Linked DNA regions of Alligator mississippiensis. The protein of the gene in region 2 interacts with the protein of the main gene of each other region in a pairwise test. Links are inferred from orthologs where the notes say so. Each region holds a gene or a part of one and is shown on either strand. Other genes may lie near its edges.

The links.
Region 1: the proteins of KLC3 (region 2) and BICDL2 interact in binary tests that used the Homo sapiens proteins (3 or more experiments, as listed by UniProt). The two-hybrid records come from large-scale screens. The link is inferred for Alligator mississippiensis from reciprocal best matches to the Homo sapiens genes KLC3 and BICDL2.

Annotation. Positions count from the first base shown.
Region 1 is NC_081830.1:652,893-660,750, reverse strand, and holds the start of BICDL2 (BICD family-like cargo adapter 2), read left to right. Parts: upstream 1-4,855; 5' UTR 4,856-6,077; coding exon 6,078-6,797; intron 6,798-7,014; coding exon 7,015-7,215; intron 7,216-7,305; coding exon 7,306-7,422; intron 7,423-7,533; coding exon 7,534-7,680; intron 7,681-7,858. Other genes in the region: CD2BP2 (CD2 antigen cytoplasmic tail-binding protein 2), read left to right, coding at 876-950, 1,078-1,204, 1,542-1,699, 1,952-2,480, 2,564-2,679, 4,565-4,675.
Region 2 is NC_081838.1:168,993-176,740, reverse strand, and holds the start of KLC3 (kinesin light chain 3), read right to left. Parts: upstream 3,014-7,748; 5' UTR 2,771-3,013; coding exon 2,057-2,770; intron 1,906-2,056; coding exon 1,678-1,905; intron 1,512-1,677; coding exon 1,436-1,511; intron 1,257-1,435; coding exon 1,043-1,256; intron 877-1,042; coding exon 789-876; intron 524-788; coding exon 422-523; intron 341-421; coding exon 167-340; intron 32-166; coding exon 1-31. UniProt on the Homo sapiens protein: Kinesin is a microtubule-associated force-producing protein that may play a role in organelle transport. Plays a role during spermiogenesis in the development of the sperm tail midpiece and in the normal function of spermatozoa.

The sequences.
Region 1 (7,858 bases), on a different chromosome or scaffold from region 2:
CCGGAAGCTGCTTCCTCCCGATATTTTTTCCAAGTCTCTTCCTAAAAATCAAAAACTTAAATTTCGAAATAATAATAAGGTAAAAAAAAGAAATGGGGGGCGGAATTAAAGAAAAGGGGCAGGGCGAATTTCGCTTGACGTCAGTTCCGGCCCGCACCCGAAAGTCGTATTCCCCCTTTAATATATACTTGGCCGGGGGCAGGAACCCCTCCAAGACCGGGTTTAAATCCCAGCAAGTAAAGATAATTCACGCGGGTGACGAAACCAATAAAAAGAGGCCGGCCTGAGCGTGTGACGTCACATCCGGGGATTCACACCCGGAAGTCGCCCATAAATAAGTTGTGGGCTTTTTTTAGTGTTTTCGAACAGTAAATCTGTTTAAATCCCTGAAACAGTAAATTCACTGGTGAGAAATGAAAAAAAGAAAAAAGCAGGGGGCTGGTCCGACGACGAGGCTTGAGGTCACTTCCGGGGTCAGGGGCTGGGCGACCCGGAAGTGCAGGCTGAGTGCGGAGTCCCGGGTGCGCGGGGCTCCTTTGTGGGGGGGGGGCGCTTGGAATGTTGGGGGCGCTCATTTGCATATGTGCGCGGCGGCGCGCGGGAGGGGCCTTTGGGGGTGTTTCCGGGGCATTTAGGGGCTCGGGGGGTCTTTGGAGGCCCTGGCACCCTCCGGGCTGGGTTGAGCGGGTGGCGGGGCACCCCCTGGCGGGGAGGCTTCCCGGCAGCCTCGCGTTCGCCCTGACCTGTGCGTGGGGCGGACAGGACCAAGAAGGGAGAGGGCTGGGGGAAGCAAGGGACTGCCCCCCCCCCCCCCCGGGGGAGGGGGTTGGGGCCGCCCCTCACCCCCATTCCTGCCCCCAGGGCTCTGGGCCGCCATGTCCAAGCGGAAGGTGACGTTCGAGGACCCGGACGACGACGACGACCTGGGGGGGCTGCCCAAGAAGCGTGGGGTGAGTGCGGGGGGGGGGGGGGGGCTCTGGGAGCCTGGGGCTGCGTCACCTCGTACTCAAGGTGGGGTGAAGTCCTGGAGGAAGGGGGCGGAGCTTGACGATGACCACGCCCCTTAACCGCACATAGGTGCAGGAGGCGGAGCCCGGCGGCCCCGGGAGCCGGTTCAAGGGGAAGCACTCATTGGACAGCGACGAGGAGGACGAGGATGAAGAAGCTGCCGGGGGCGGGATCTTGGCCCCGGAGGACGTGGAGGGTGAGTGGGGGTCAAGGGGCGGGGCTTGCGGGGTCAGGGGGCGGGGCCTGCACTGGTAGGCCGCAACCAGCAGCCAGAGGCTCCTCGCCTCTTGGTAGCTGGGGGCGGGACCTGTTGTGAAGGCTGTCCGTCACCGGTGGGTGGGCGGAGCCTAGTCTGGCGGCCCCTTACTAAGGACCGCAGGTGCAGTGGGTGGGTCTTCGTGGCTGTGGGCGGGGCCTGGGATGGTTATCCTGTGGGCGGGGCTTACCAGCGGCGCTGGATGCTGTCTATCACAGACGTGGGGGTATTGGGTGGGCTGGCGGGTGGGCGGAGCCTGAAGCCGCCCGTCACGCAGGCCAGGAGCCGGGCTCGGTGCTGGAGGAGGAGGGGGTGCGCTTCACGCCCTTCAACCTGCGGGAGGAGCTGGCCGAGGGCCACTTCGACGCCGCCGGCAACTACTTCCCCCGCGGCGACGACGGGCCCCCAGACGCCTGGCTCGACTCGCTCGACTGGGTGAGGCCTGGCATAGGAGTGGGAGACACTGCGGGGCAACGCAACGGCACTGGGAGGCATTGGGGAGAACTGGGATGGGAGGAGAGGGACACTGGGAGACACTGGGGTGGGAGGAGGGGGCTTTGTAGGGTACCGGGAGGAACTGGGACAGACTGGGATGGAAGATGGGGAGCCCGGGGAGAGGGGGTGGGAAGGTAGGAGGGAGGTCGCGGGCTGCGCTGGGCCCTGACCCTCCCCTCCCCTCCCCCGCAGGTGACTGTCAAGCCGCTGCCCGCCCGCCGCCGGGGGCAGTCCCAGCAGGGAGGGGGCAGCCCCGAAGCGGAGGGGACGGAGCCCGGCCGGGAATCCCCGCCCCTCCCAGACCCCCAGGCGGCGCTGGAGGGGCTGGTGGAGCTGGTGGGGCCGGGGGAGACGGTGGCTCGGGCCATCCAGCGCTTGGGCGGGGGCGGGGCCCGGCCCAGGGGGCGGGGGCGGGGCCGCGGGCGGGGCCGCGGGCGGGGGCGGGGCCGGCAGGCAGAGGTGGAGCCAGCACCGGAGCCAGAGCCGGAGCCAGAGCCGCCCGAGGAGGTCGAGAGGCGGGGCCGGCTGGAGCGGCTCTCGGGATTGGCCGACCTCATGGTGGCACGGGGCCACTACGGCGTCTACCAGGAGACGCGGGAGCGCCTGGCCCTCCGCCTCCGGGCCTTGGCCCCGCCCTCTGCCCAGGCCACGCCCACTGGCCCCACCCTCGACATGTTTGCTGAGGAGGTGGATGAGGCGGCTCTTCGAACCCAGGAGTCTGGTGAGCCTGGCGGGGCGGGGCGGGGCGGGGCAGGGGGCGTTGCCTGTGAGAGGGCGGGGCTGAGCTGTGCCCTCCTCCCGCAGGGGGCGGGGCCGTGGCCGTGGCGGAGGCGGCGCTGGACGAGGTGCTGTGGGAGTACAAGTGGGAGAACACGGCGGGGGCGGAGCTCTACGGGCCCTTCAGCAGCAGCCAGATGCAGGTGGGATGGCTCCGCCCCAGACTCAGCCGCATCCTGGCGGCCGCGCCCCACAGCCGCCCGCTGCATGTGACAGGCCGGGGGGCCCATGCTGGCAGCATACAGGGCGGGGAGGACCGCACTGGTGTTGCACACGTGTGGGGGGCCGTGTTGATGTGACGTGTGAGGGGAAGCCATGCTAGTGGGGGGCACCTCCATTGATGAGGCGCCTGTTGTGGGGAACGCGATGGAGGACCCGTATTGACGCGGCACCCGTAGTGGGGCCCCACATTGGCTTGTCATGCGGGTGGGGATGCGTGTTGATGCGGTGTGTGTTGAGAGGGACCCATGTCGGTGTGATACACGGGGATGACCTGTATTGGTGGACACATGGGAGGGACCATACGGGCCCGGAACAAGGGGGAACACCACATTGGTGCACGTGGTGGGTGGGGGAGCCATATTGGTGTGACGCGGCTAGACATGGGGGACCCTTATTAGTGTGACACGGGGGGGGGGGCCTTTGGGGGTGCCTTCCCCTAAATGGTCCCCCAACGTGGGCTCCCCCATGTGCGTTTGGATATGGGTCCCCCCAGTGTGTGTGTGTGTGTGTGTGTCCAATACAGTTCCTCCCGTGTCTCTTCAGTGTGGGTCCCCCCCTTACATGCATCCCTTTGTGTATCATCCCAATTTATGTTCCCGGGGGGTGTCCCCAGTATCATCCCCTCCCCGGTGTCCTCACTTTGGGCCCTGCCGTGTGTGTCTGTGTCTCATTGATATGGGTCCCTCTGTGTGTGTGTGGGGGGGGGGGTCTTCCTCCCTCCCTCCCCAGGGTGTGTCCGCAATATGGGTTTCCTCCATATGTTTGTGAGCGTGACCCCAAGATGGGTCCCCTCCCCACACGCATGTGTGTGTCCCCAATTAGGGCCCCCATATATGTGTGTGTGTGCCTGTCCACCCACCCCCAATTAGAACCCCCCATGTGTGTATGTGTGCTTGTCTCTGATATGGGTCTGTGTGTGTGTCCAATTAGGGCCCCCCATATATGTGTGTGTGTGTGTGCGCGTCCGTGTGTCTTACTGACATGGGTCCCTGTGTGTGTGTCCACCCCCATGTGCGTGTTCTCTATATGGGTTCCCACCGTGCATGCGTGCACACATTTCTCCCCAGTATCAGTTCTCTCATAGGTGTCTCCCTGATGTGCCCCCCCTCCCCCCCCATGGGTGTGTGTCCATATGTGTTTCCCCAATATGGATCTTCCTGTGTGTGTGTGTCTTCCCACTTTGGCCCCCCCATGTGTGTGTGTCTCCCCACGTGCATGTTGCACATGTCCCCCTGCATGTGTCTCCCCAATATGGGTCCCCTGTACGTGTGCATCTCTAGTGCAGGTCCCACCCAAGCGTGCATCACCCTGATATGGCGACGTCCCTGTGTGTGTGTGTCTCCCTGATACGAGTCCCTCTCTGTGTGCGTCACGGTAGTATGGGTCCCCTGTATGCGTGCATTTCCCTCGTGTGTGAGTTCCCCTTATATGGAGACGCCCCAGCTCCGTGTGTGGTTCTGGTGGGTCCTGCCCCATGCGTGTCACCCCTATATAAGTCTTCTGTGTGCACACATTGCCTCAACATGGTTCCCCCATACGTGCACCCCCATTTTCCATCCTGTCAGCGTGTGTGTCACTCTAATATGGGTCCCCCCATAACCATGTTGGTGCATCACATGATCTGTGCCCGTGTGTGTGACCCCCCTGCCCTACCCCAGAGCAGGCTGCAGCCTGGGGTGCCTGTCATGCCCAGCCCATGACACCCGCTGCCCCATAGCCAGCTGCATGGCGCCGTTCCACTCGTGCCCCCCCGCCTCAGCCACATCTCTCCCCCGACTCACCCCCTCGTCTCTCTCTCCCCCGCAGGAGTGGGTGTCCGAGGGCTACTTCGCGGACGGGGTTTACTGCCGGAAGTTGGACCCGCCGGGCGGGCAGTTTTACAGCTCCAAGCGCATCGACTTTGACCTCTATACGTGACCCCCGAGGCCCAGATTTTCAGGGCAGTCCCAGCCTGGAGACTTTGGGGGGAGGGATCTTTGTGTACACAGGTTTGGATTAAAAATGTCGTGTTTCACCCCAGAGCTGGCTGCCGCTCCGTTCTACCTGGCCTCTAGCTGCCCGCTCACAGCAGGGGAAGGCTCCCTAGAGCCAGCTGCATGGGGGCACCTATATAAGTGTAACGCGCGTGGGGGCAGGGGGGCTTGATTTTGGGGAGACCGCTGCATCATAGGAACCGTACATGGGGGGAACTTATATATATATGTATATATATGTGAGTGAGACACACGTATGTCTTTGTGGGGGTCCTAGTTTTAGGGAGACGCATAGCGTTGGGGGGGACCTATATAGGTGTGACACACGGGCCATCCTGATTTGGGGAGACAGCTGTATCATAGGAACTTCCTAGCACTGGGGGCACCCCCATAGGCATGACACATGTATGTGGAGGATTGCGGGGGGCTGTTTTTGAGGTGACGCACCCTGCATTGATGGGGCTGGTGTCCGAGGTCTTTCCAGAGAGACAGACGGGACAGACCCATGGGTGGGGGGGACCCCTTTTAGGGAGACACTGGAGGGGGCAGGTCAGCAGGCTGATACTGGGGTAATGCCCATAGCAGTAAGTGTCCAGGGGCTGGATTTTCAGGGGCTGGGAGCATATTGGTGTGACACCAACCAACCCACAGGGGACCCATATTTGTGTGACACACAGGAGGCAAAAGGTGCTGGGCTTTCTGCGGGGGGATCTATATTGGGGTGACACATGCATGGGGGGATATGAGTGTGACATGAGGGGGGGATGTGCAGTGGGGCAGCTCCCCCCTCCAGGGTGTGACACAGTAATAGTGGTTCGTGTGGGTGTCTGCTACCCCAGTAGCGGTTCCAGGGGTGTGTTACACCAATAAAAGTCCTCTGGTCACCCCAGGGGGACTGGGGTCACCCCAGTATGGTCTCCCCTTTTGGGTGGCACCCCAGTAGGGGTCCCCTGCATATCTCATACCCCAATAATAGTTGGTAGCGGTGCGTAACAAATGACAGTCCCCAGGGAGGTATGTGCCACCCCAATATGGGCCCCCGCCTTTGGGTGTGTCACCCCAATAGCAGTCCCCTGTGTGTCTGTTACCCCCATAAGGGTTCTCACGTGTGTCACACCGATTAGAGTCCCCCAGAGCTAGATCTGTGCCATTCTCAAAAAGGATCCCACCCCACGTGTCACCCCAGTATAGCCCCCACCCACCTGTGTCACCCCAACATGGGTTCCCTATGGTGTCACTTCATCACGAGTCTTCCTGTCACCCCCCGATATAGCTCCCATCGCGTGTCACCCCAGTACTGGTCACCCCACAATGGGTTCCCGTGATGGAGAGGGGTTGGGGACCCCATGGGGGGGGGGGGGGTCAGGAGGCTGCAGGGGGAGCAGGATTTGCTGTTCCCAGCGGCTGGAGCTGGGGTTTGGAGTGGCTCAGGTGTGCAGGGGGTGGGGCTTGGCGGTGGCCCTGCCCCCTCCGCACCTGGGGTTGGAATCGGGAAGTCAACAGCCTCCCTCCACCGCAGCTGCTGCAGGGAAGCCACGCGTCCAGCTCAGCTAAGCCCCCCGCCCCCCGTATCTCACCCCCCCAGCTGCCCCCTCCCCTATCAGCCAGGGGCAAACCCCAAGCTTCAAACCCCCCCCCCTCCCAGTCCGAAGAGCCCAGGCATCTGGGTCCCCTACCCCCCCCCCCCCCCCGGAAGGAACCCAGGTGTCCTACCCCCCCCCCCAATCCCCTCCCCATTGGTCAGGGAAGGAACCCAGGGGTCCGGGCACCCTACAGCCTCCCTCCCTCTCCCCCTCAGCCAGGTAGAACCCAGGCACCTGGCCCCGGCCCCCCTCCAAAGTCCGGGAAGGACCCCGGGCGTCTGGGCACCCCCTACCATGGCCTTGTGGGAGGATGGGGAGGAGGGGGGGGCGCCAGGGGGGGAGCCAGGGGGAGGGCCACGGCTCGCACGGGTGGAACGGGACCTGGCGCTGGCGGCAGAGCTGGGGCAGCTGCTGCTGGCGGCCAACGAGGAGCTGCGGCGCCAGCAGGAGGCACAGGACCACGACCACGCCCAGGCCCTGGAGGTGAGTGACCCCCCCCCCCCCCCCACCGCCCCAAGATCGGGGCCCCTCCCAGCCAGACCAGTTTGGGACTGGGAGGGGCCCTGGTGACGCACAGGGAGTAAATCAGCTCCACCTGGACTCCTGGGTTCCTTCACGGGGGTGGGGTCCAGATGCCCGGGTCCTCGGGGTGGGGGGAGATTGGAGGGCCGCGGACGCCTGACCTCTCCCCTGCCCCCAGCGGCTGGAGCGGGAGAACCAGGAGCTGAGGGTGGCGCTGGCAGCAGCACGGGCAGAGGGGGAGGGGCGGGCAGCCGAGCTGGAGGCGGAGCTGGCAGTGCTCCAGGCCCCACCCCGCCGGCCAAGCCCTGCCCCCGCCCTTGACCCCGCCCCCCTGGAGTGGGCAGAGCAGAACCAGCGCCTGGCGGAGGAGCTGCAGGAGGTGGGGACCTGGACGCCTGGGTTGGGAGGGAGGGCCAGGAGCCTAGATGCCTGGGTTCCAACCCACCCCACCCCGCCCCGCCCCCCGCAGGCGCTGGAGCGGGAGCGGGGGCTCCGGGCGGAGCTGGCGTCTCTGCGGGAGGAGACGCGGGCGCAGGGGCGGAGCCAGGCCGAGCTGGAGGCCGCGGCCCAGAGCCTGAGTGCAGAGGTGAGACCCCCCAACCCGGGCACCTGTGTCCCCTGCGGGAAGAGGGGGGCGGGCGGAGCGGGACCCAGACACCTGGGTTCGTTGGGCTTTCCGTGTCGCCCTCCCCCCCAGATAGCAGCGCTGCGGGCCCGGGTGGGGGCACTGGAGCAGGAGGCGCGGGAGCTGCGGGCCGAGGCAGAGGCGGCGCAGGGGCAGGCGGAAGCAGCACATGGCCATGGCCTCGTGCTGCGCCGGGAGCTGCACGAGAAGGAGCTCGAGGTACCGGCTGGGGGGCCACGAGGATCATGGCAGGGCCATCCTGGGGCACCTATTCCTTGAGGAACCTAGAACATACGCCCCCAAAGCCTTGCTAGCAACCAAGGGGTCAGCAGGTCTTGATGGACCTAGAACCCACCCACCCAGGAGGGTTGGGGGCCTTGAGGAACCTAGAAACCCC
Region 2 (7,748 bases):
GGTACTTGCCCTGCTTCAGGTATGAGGAGGCCTGTGGGAGGGGCGAAGAGGGCAGGGCACAGTGAGGGGGGCAAAACTGCCCCCTTAACCCTCTGCATGCCAGAGCCATCCCCTCCCCCCCCCACCATTAACCCATCTGCACCGGTGCCCCCCGAAGCCCAGGCACCAGGTTGTTCTTGGTCTTGGCCACGCTGGGGTCACGGGGGCCGAGTCGGGCCTGGTAGATGCGCAGGGCACGGGCGTAGTACTGCTCCACTGCTGCGAACTTGCCCTGGTTCTGGCACAGCAGCGCCAGGTTGTTGAGCTGCTTGGCCACATCAGGGTGGTCAGTGCCCAGGACCTGCAGCACGGAGTGGGGGGAAGAGTCAGGCTCTGCCCTGCATCGCGCGGGGGAGTGGGGGCACAGGTTGGAGGGCAGCACCTTCTCACGGATCTCCAGTGCCCGCTGGCACAGCGGCTCAGCCTCCTTGTACCGGCCACGCTTGCCGTACAGCACTGCCAGGTTGTTCAGCGTGGCAGCCACCTGTGAGGGAGAGGGGGCTCAGAGCCCAGCTCTGTGCCCACCCCCCCCCACCCCATCTACGCAGCCCCATGCAGGGTGGGGGCAGGAGCCAGTGGGGGGGGGGGGGAGAGCTACTCCAGTCCCATGGGGAGGGGGCAGGGCCAAGGGACCTCCCCTTGGCACATGCTGGTGCCCAGCCCTGGCCTGCCTCCCTGGGGCCGGACTTGGGGGTGTGGGTCAGGCCCTGAAGCCCCTCACAGGGAACCCCTTCCCCTGCCCCGCTCACGGCTGGGTGCTCGGCGCCCAGGGTCTGCTCCCGGATGTCCAGCGCATCATTCAGCAGCTCCGTGGCCTCCTTGTACTTGTTCTGGTCCCTGGCAGACGGGCAGAGCTGTGTCCCAGGGCGTGCTGGCTGGGGTCCCGCGTGCCCAGAGGTGGCCAGTTGGGATCCCGTGTGCCCCAGGCAGGGACTGGCCAGGGTCCCATGTGCCCCGGGAAGGGGCCAGCCAGGGTCCCACATGCTAGCTGGGGGGGCCTCACCGGTAGACGAGGGCCAGGATGTTAAGCATGGTGGCCACGTCGGGGTGGTTGTGGCCTGAGCTCTTCTCCAGGTCCTCCAGTGCCTGCTTGCAGAGAGGCACAGCCACCTCGTAGCGACCCTGGGCTGCGTACTGGATCACCAGGTTGTGCAGTGTCCGCAGCCGCGCCGGGATCTCGTAACCACCTGGCTGGGCTGCGTTCCCCGCCACACCATCTTGGGGGGTGACAGGCATCAGCTGGGGGCAGTTGCTCCCGGCCCCCCCCAGCCAGCAGCCAAGGGCAGATCTGGTGCTGGGGCGGGGGCAGGATGGATGGGGAGCCCTACCCCCCCCAACACTGTCCCCCGCAACACTGCCCCCAGCTTAAGCCCCCGCGCCAGCCGCCCGCACACACCCGGCCGCGTTTCCTCATCGCCTGTGAAGAGCCCGCTTAGCCCGTCATCACGCTCTGGTGCCTCGTCCTTCTCCAGCTGGGGGCACAGTGGGGCCATGAAGCAGCGGGGACCTCCCTATGCACCTGCCCCATAGGGCTGCTCTGTGTCCCTGAGCCAGGCCCTGTGCTCCAGCACTGGGACAGGGAGGTCAGGTTCTAGCCTGTGTGGGGTTCGGGGCATGGGCAGGTCCCAGTGCTCTCACCAGCTCGTCACGGCCCTCGTACTGCTTGAGCTGGTTCAGGAACTCGAGGTGCCGCTTCTCCTCCTCCAGCTGGGCCACGGCCTCCTGGCTCTGCTGCAGGCGCTGCTGGGTGCCCGCCAGCTCCTCCCACAGCCACTGGTTCTCCTGGCCCAGCCGCTTGGCCTGAGCCCGCAGCTTCTGCTTCTCTGCCTCCAGCGCCCCGACATGGGACGACAGTGCCAGCAGGAGCTGTGAGGACAGGGGTCAGTGGGGTCGGCTGTGCCCCCTCCCGCCAGCTCCTACCCCCTCCCCAGCTCTGACTCCCCCAAGCTCCAGGCTGGGGCTGAAGCAACCCCAAGGCCCCCCCAGCTCCTACCCCTGTGCCCTGGCAGCCCCACACCTGCGCCTCCCCGAGCCCCAGCTCGATGCCCTCCAAGATCCTGCAGACGAGCTCGTGCTTCTCCTCCAGTAGCTCCAGGGCCCAGTCCCCGGCAGACGGGGGTTCCAGCTCCGTCCCAGGCGCGGCATCGGGACAGCAGTGCAGGCTGCCCTGCAGCTGCAGCAGGATGGCACAGTTCTCACTGCGCAGTGCTTCCAGCCCCTTCACCACCTGCCGTGTGCTGGCCACGATGTCGTCCGCTGTTGGCCGGCCCCCAGTGCCCTCACCCAGCCCTGCCACCACCGACATGGTGTCGCCTGCCTGCCCACCTGCTGAAGCAACACAGTCCTCAGCACCAGGCCAAGGGGCAGGTGGGGGTAGCAGGGCAGGGACACGAAGGCGCTGGCAAGTCCCTGTGGGTGGGCACAGGCGGGGCGTGGGAGCTCCATGGCCCGGGCGGCACCAGACACAGCCCCAGCCAGAGGCACAGATGGGCCCCAGCTTGCCCTGCGCAGGGTGGAGCACGGGAACTGGTCCTGTCAGCTGGTGCCCAGGGAGTGCGTCTGCACTCGCTGGCCCACAGCACACATGTGAGCAAGCCCACGCGTGCACAGCTGCAGGCACGGAGCAAAGCACCGCTTGCCCCCAGACGGGGGTCCCCAGAGCCTGGCCACGGCGTGCAGCCTGGGCACGGGGGCCAAGCCATGGGGCCTGCCCAGGACCCAGCCAGGGCATCAGTGCACCTGTGCACCATCCTGCCACAGCACGGAGCCCTGCATGGGGCCACAGCCCATAGCCCGGGCACGGGTACGGGGGCCCATGACCCTGCCAGGCGCTGGGGCATGGCCCTGCAGCCTGGGCACGGAGCCTACCCCGCGGGTCCCTGCCAGGGCAGCGCTGCACCGGCACGGACCTGCCCCGGGGCACAGCCCGGGCACGGGGGCCCGAGCCTCGGGGCCCGCCCGGGACCAGCCATGACCCCCGCACACACCTGCCCGGCCGCGCCGCGCCGCGCTACAGCATCCCCGCCGCCCCGCTCACCTGCCGCTGGGGGCGGTCCCACAATGCACCGCGCCCCGCCCCCCGGGGCCGTCGTGGGCGGGGCACGCCTCGCCCAGCCCCCGCCGCCCTCCACCCCCCGGATCGGGGCCGGCCCCGCCCAGCGCTGGACAGCGGCCGCGGCCGTGCGGACCCTGCGGAGCGGGGCTGAACCCGGCGGCCCCCGGTCCGCCCCGCCCCGCCCCGCCGGGGTCCCGCAGCCCCCGTCCCGGGTCGGCCCTCCCGCTTCTGCATCTCCGTCGGGGGAGCGGGGCCGCGCCTGGCAGCCGGGCCTCGGGGTAGGCTCCTACGCCCGCCGGTGGCATCCCCTGAAGGGCCCCGATCCTCCCTCCGCCCCCGAATCTGCAGCCGCGGCCCAGGCTCTTGCAAGCGGGGCCCTGCCCGGTGCCTCAGTTTCCCTGGAAGCAGGCCCCTGGCAGTGGCTCCCGCCAGCCCTTCCATGCGGGCACGGAGCCGCCCTGGGCCCGGAAGGCGGGAGCCGCGGGGCCAGAGCCGAGCCGAGCCGAGCAGGCCGGGCCCCCGAGCCAGGTTCCCCGAGCGCCCGGCCCGGCCCGGCCCGGCCCGGCCCGGCCCGGCCCGGGAGAGGTGACACCGAGTCCCGCAGCGCCGCCGCCTCTGCACGCCCCGCCCCTCCGGGGCCGCCAGGGGGCAGCGCCGAGCAGCCGGGACCGCAGGAGTGTGCTCATGCATGGTGGCGTGTGTGCGCGCACGTGTGTATGTTGTCAGGTATCCGGATTGTAGCCCTATTGGTCTGAAGGAAAACGCAGTCGGGACTCGTAGTAGAGATAGTATCTTGTATTAGACCAACTACGTTTTTGCAACAAAAGAAGTTCTTTAATTGCAAGTTTTCAGGCGCAAACACCCTTGATGAGGCATTGGAGAAAAGATTGTGAAAGTTCTCCTGGGTCGAAATGAAAGTTCATATTTCATAGGATTTCACAGAGGAGCCAATAGATGGACTACTCCTCGCATGTGTGTTTGCTTGTGTATGCATTTGTCTTTGGGTTTGTGTGTTTGCTTGTGTATGCATTTGTCTTTGGGTTTGTGTGTTTGCATGTGTGCCTGTTTGCACGTATCTGTGTGTGCGCTTTCTTGTGAGTGCATGTGTGCTTGTGTGTGTGAGTGTGCATGTGTATGAGTGCATGTGCACATGGTTGTGCCCCCCCCCCCCCCACTCAGCACTGCCTTAGGCCACTCCCAGGCCCTCCTGTGCCCCCTGCAGAGAGGCAGCCCCCTTTAGCCCCCTCCTCCCCAGGCTCAGCTGTCCCCAGACCCAGCAGGGCCTGGCAGTCTGAAAGCCCTTGCAGGACAGCACAGCTGCCCCAGCTCAGCACAGACAGTGGCTGCACCAGGGCAGAGCTGCCTCTGGCTGTTGGGCTCAGCCCCACTCCCTGTGGCAGCTGGAGATGCCCCTAGGCTCCTCAGGGCCCTTCCCTCCCTGGGACCAGGCTTTGGCATTGCTGGGCTGGCTGGGGGCACAGGTGGCACAATGGCTCCCATGGGTCCAGCTGAGGAGAACAGAGAACTGGGCCAGCACTGGCAGGGCTTGGCCCAGTGGGGACAGGCCATAATTACCGAGCACAGCGGTAATCACAGGCACCAGCTGGGGCTGCGGTAATTAGTGCTTGCTCTGTGCCTCCCAGGGCCTGCATTGGACCTTCAGGGTGGGAGAGCCAGCAGCAGGGGAAGGGGCAGGTCCTGAGAACAGGGGCAGCAGCTGCTGGTGGGGCTGGGCTGGGGAGTCAGGGCAGGTGTCCCAGGGCAGCCCAGGGGAAGCTGGGAGGAGACACCTCCTCCTCCACCTCCTGCTGAAGTGCCCAGGCCATGGCCCAACGCTGGAGCTGCTGTGGCCCAGCTGGGTGCAGGCAGGCACTGAGCGAGGGGTCGGGCGCCAGGATGGGCCTCTTGGCGCCGTGGGCCTGTTCAGGCCAGGCCAGCAGTGCAGATACAGGCACTGTGGGAAACCCGACCTGCCTGCCCAGCTGGCTCTAAAAATACTGGCTCACCCGCCCTCCCCCCCCCCCCCCGACCGGCCCAGCCTGCTGGGATTGAATTCTCATGATCCAGCGGATCAGCTCAGAGGTCATTGCACAGGGCACCCCTACCAGGACTGCCTGGGGTGGGGGGTTCCCCCCAGGCCCAGCACCAGCTCCCCCAGCCTTGCGATGCCCCAGGGCCCAGCACAGCTGAGGGGGCAGGGTGGAGGTATGTGGGCAGGTCACTGCAGGCTCTTGCCATGGGCATGTGCATGTGCAGGCATGTGCATGAAGAAATGCAGAGCCAATTTCTGCCATCACACTTGCCTCAGTTTCCATGAGCAGACAGTGTAGGAGGGGAACATGGTGAACACCCCCTGGCCTGGAAGTGGGGTGGGGGGAGGGGTGATGATGGCAATATGGGTCCCTTGAAGGCTGGTGCAGCAGGGGGTTCAACATAGATCTGGGCACAGGCTGCTGTGACCTCCCCACCCCAACGTGTTTGGCAGGTGGGGAGTGGGCACAGGGCCAAGAGCACCTGGGCCCTGGGGCATAGAATGATGGGGCTGCAGGCCTTGCCCCACAATGCCCCCTTCCCCTGTGGTGCCTCTAGTCCCCCAGGGAGATCCTGGTTGGCCCCCAGTCAGGTGGGTCCTGCTATTTTGAGCCAGTGCCGAGCTGGTTTAGTGACTGTCGTACATGCTGCAGCCTATTCCTGGAGCTCAGCCCTTGCCCTGGGGCTGGAAGACCCCCAGATAGCCTGCTGGATTAGCTTGCCCACAGCTGCCCTGAGCACTCCTGGAGGAGCATGGGCTAGTGCCTGCCAGGCTGTGCTGTGGCTGCCCCAGGCTGGGGGGCTCCAACTTTCAGCAGGGTGCCAGGTGGTCCCATGTCCCACTCCCCCCCCCACACACACACACATCCGGCGGGGTCTCAGCACCTCCGGGGGACAGCAGGACCCAGCTCCAACCAGCTGGCTCCTGCCCTGCTGCTAATTTTGGCCCTGCCTGTGGCCACCTGCCTGTGCCGTGATATTTCCAGCCAAGATCACGCCTGGCCTTGTGATGCCCACGGCAAGGTGACCTCCAGACAGGGGCGCCCAGCTGGGGGTGCTTTGGGCCTGTGCCCGAGGCAGGGGCTGGCTGAGGTGGTGCCAGGTCCTGGCCAGGGGCAGGTGCCAGCCAGCCCGCACCCCACTCCCCTCCACACACACACATGCACATACTGTGGCTCTTCTCCAAGGCCTTGACTGGCATGGCCTGCTCCCCGGGTGCCGGGACATGCTACACACTGCATGTAGCCCCTGCGTACTCCACATGTGGGCCCTACAGATGTGCACAAGACAGGGGACACCAGTGGACGCAGCTGGGTGCCTGGGCAGGGTGGGAGCAGTAGGATTTAGGTCCTCAGTGTGTCAGGGTCACAGCCCCTTCCAGGCCTTACATGCAGGCCCCTGGATACATGTACAAACCCCAGCTTGTGCTTGTGCACCCCCCCAGCCAGTGGAGCCTGGCAGGAGCCCCAGCCTGAGCAGGGAGATCCCCCCAGAGCTGCCTGCAGGGCTGGGCTGAAACCTGATCTCCCGGCCCAGCATACGCAGGCGGGGCCCGCACCCCTCTGCACAGCTGCTGTCCCTGCACCTGCTGCCTCCACCCCCGTCCACCCCAGGGGCCCTTGAGCAGATCCCTGGGCAAGATCCAGTCCTGTTCCAGCCCCCAGAGCCAGCAGGGAGCTGGAGTGAGGCAGGGTGCCCCGTGGGCACTGCCAGCCCAGCCACAGTCCCAGGTGCCCGCAGGAAGGGCACACAGCAGGCAATCAATTGCCCAGAGGGGGGCACATGGGGGTCTTAGCAGTGCCCCTGGGACCAGCCCCTTCTGGGGAGCCTGCAGGGTCCGGCTCAGCCTGACCCCCAGCATTCCTGTCTCCCAGCCGTGGTGCCAGGGGCCAGAGCTCAGGTTACGCTGATGTGTCAAACTCCGGTGTTTGGCACAGCCCCGAGCCTGCGCCCATCCCATGCACTGGGCACTCTCCGGGCAAGGCCTCAGCCCTGCACCCCCAGCACAGAGCCCCTGCTGCCCCCCTGTCCTCGGTCTACTCCAGTGCCCACTGTGACCTCATCCCTTAACGCTTCTTCCCCGAGCCCCACTCCCTGCCAGGGGTCATTGTGCCTTTTGCACCTGGGAGCTGCCCAAGCCACTGCTCCCCCAAGGGCACTGGGGATGTCCCGACACCAACCAGGCCCTGAGGCCCGAGACCAGTCTCAGCACCCTCCCAGGCTGATGCCCACCACCAGACTCTGTGGGGTGGACGTGAGCTGGGCCCCAGGACTGTTCCCCCCCATAAATCATGGTGCCCTGCAGCTGCTGGCCCCTTCCTGCTCTGGGGTTGGATCCCTGGAAACACGATCTCAGCTGCTCTGCTCTGGTGCCAGCAAGGGCCCGGACAGGCTGGGTTGCTTGGGTGGGGGCCAGGGCACTGTGAGCCAGCACCGCATTGCTGCCTATATAAAGTGCTGGGCCGTCGGCCATGGGGGCGAGGGGCGGGTGGCTGGGGGGGTGAGGGGGAGCAGCGTCATGTGCTCCCATCCCAGCCAGGCCTTGCTCAGCACCCTCAGGCTGGTACCTGAGGGGATGGGCTGGTGCCAGCACTGGGGACCGCCCCCTGGCAGGGCAGGGCAG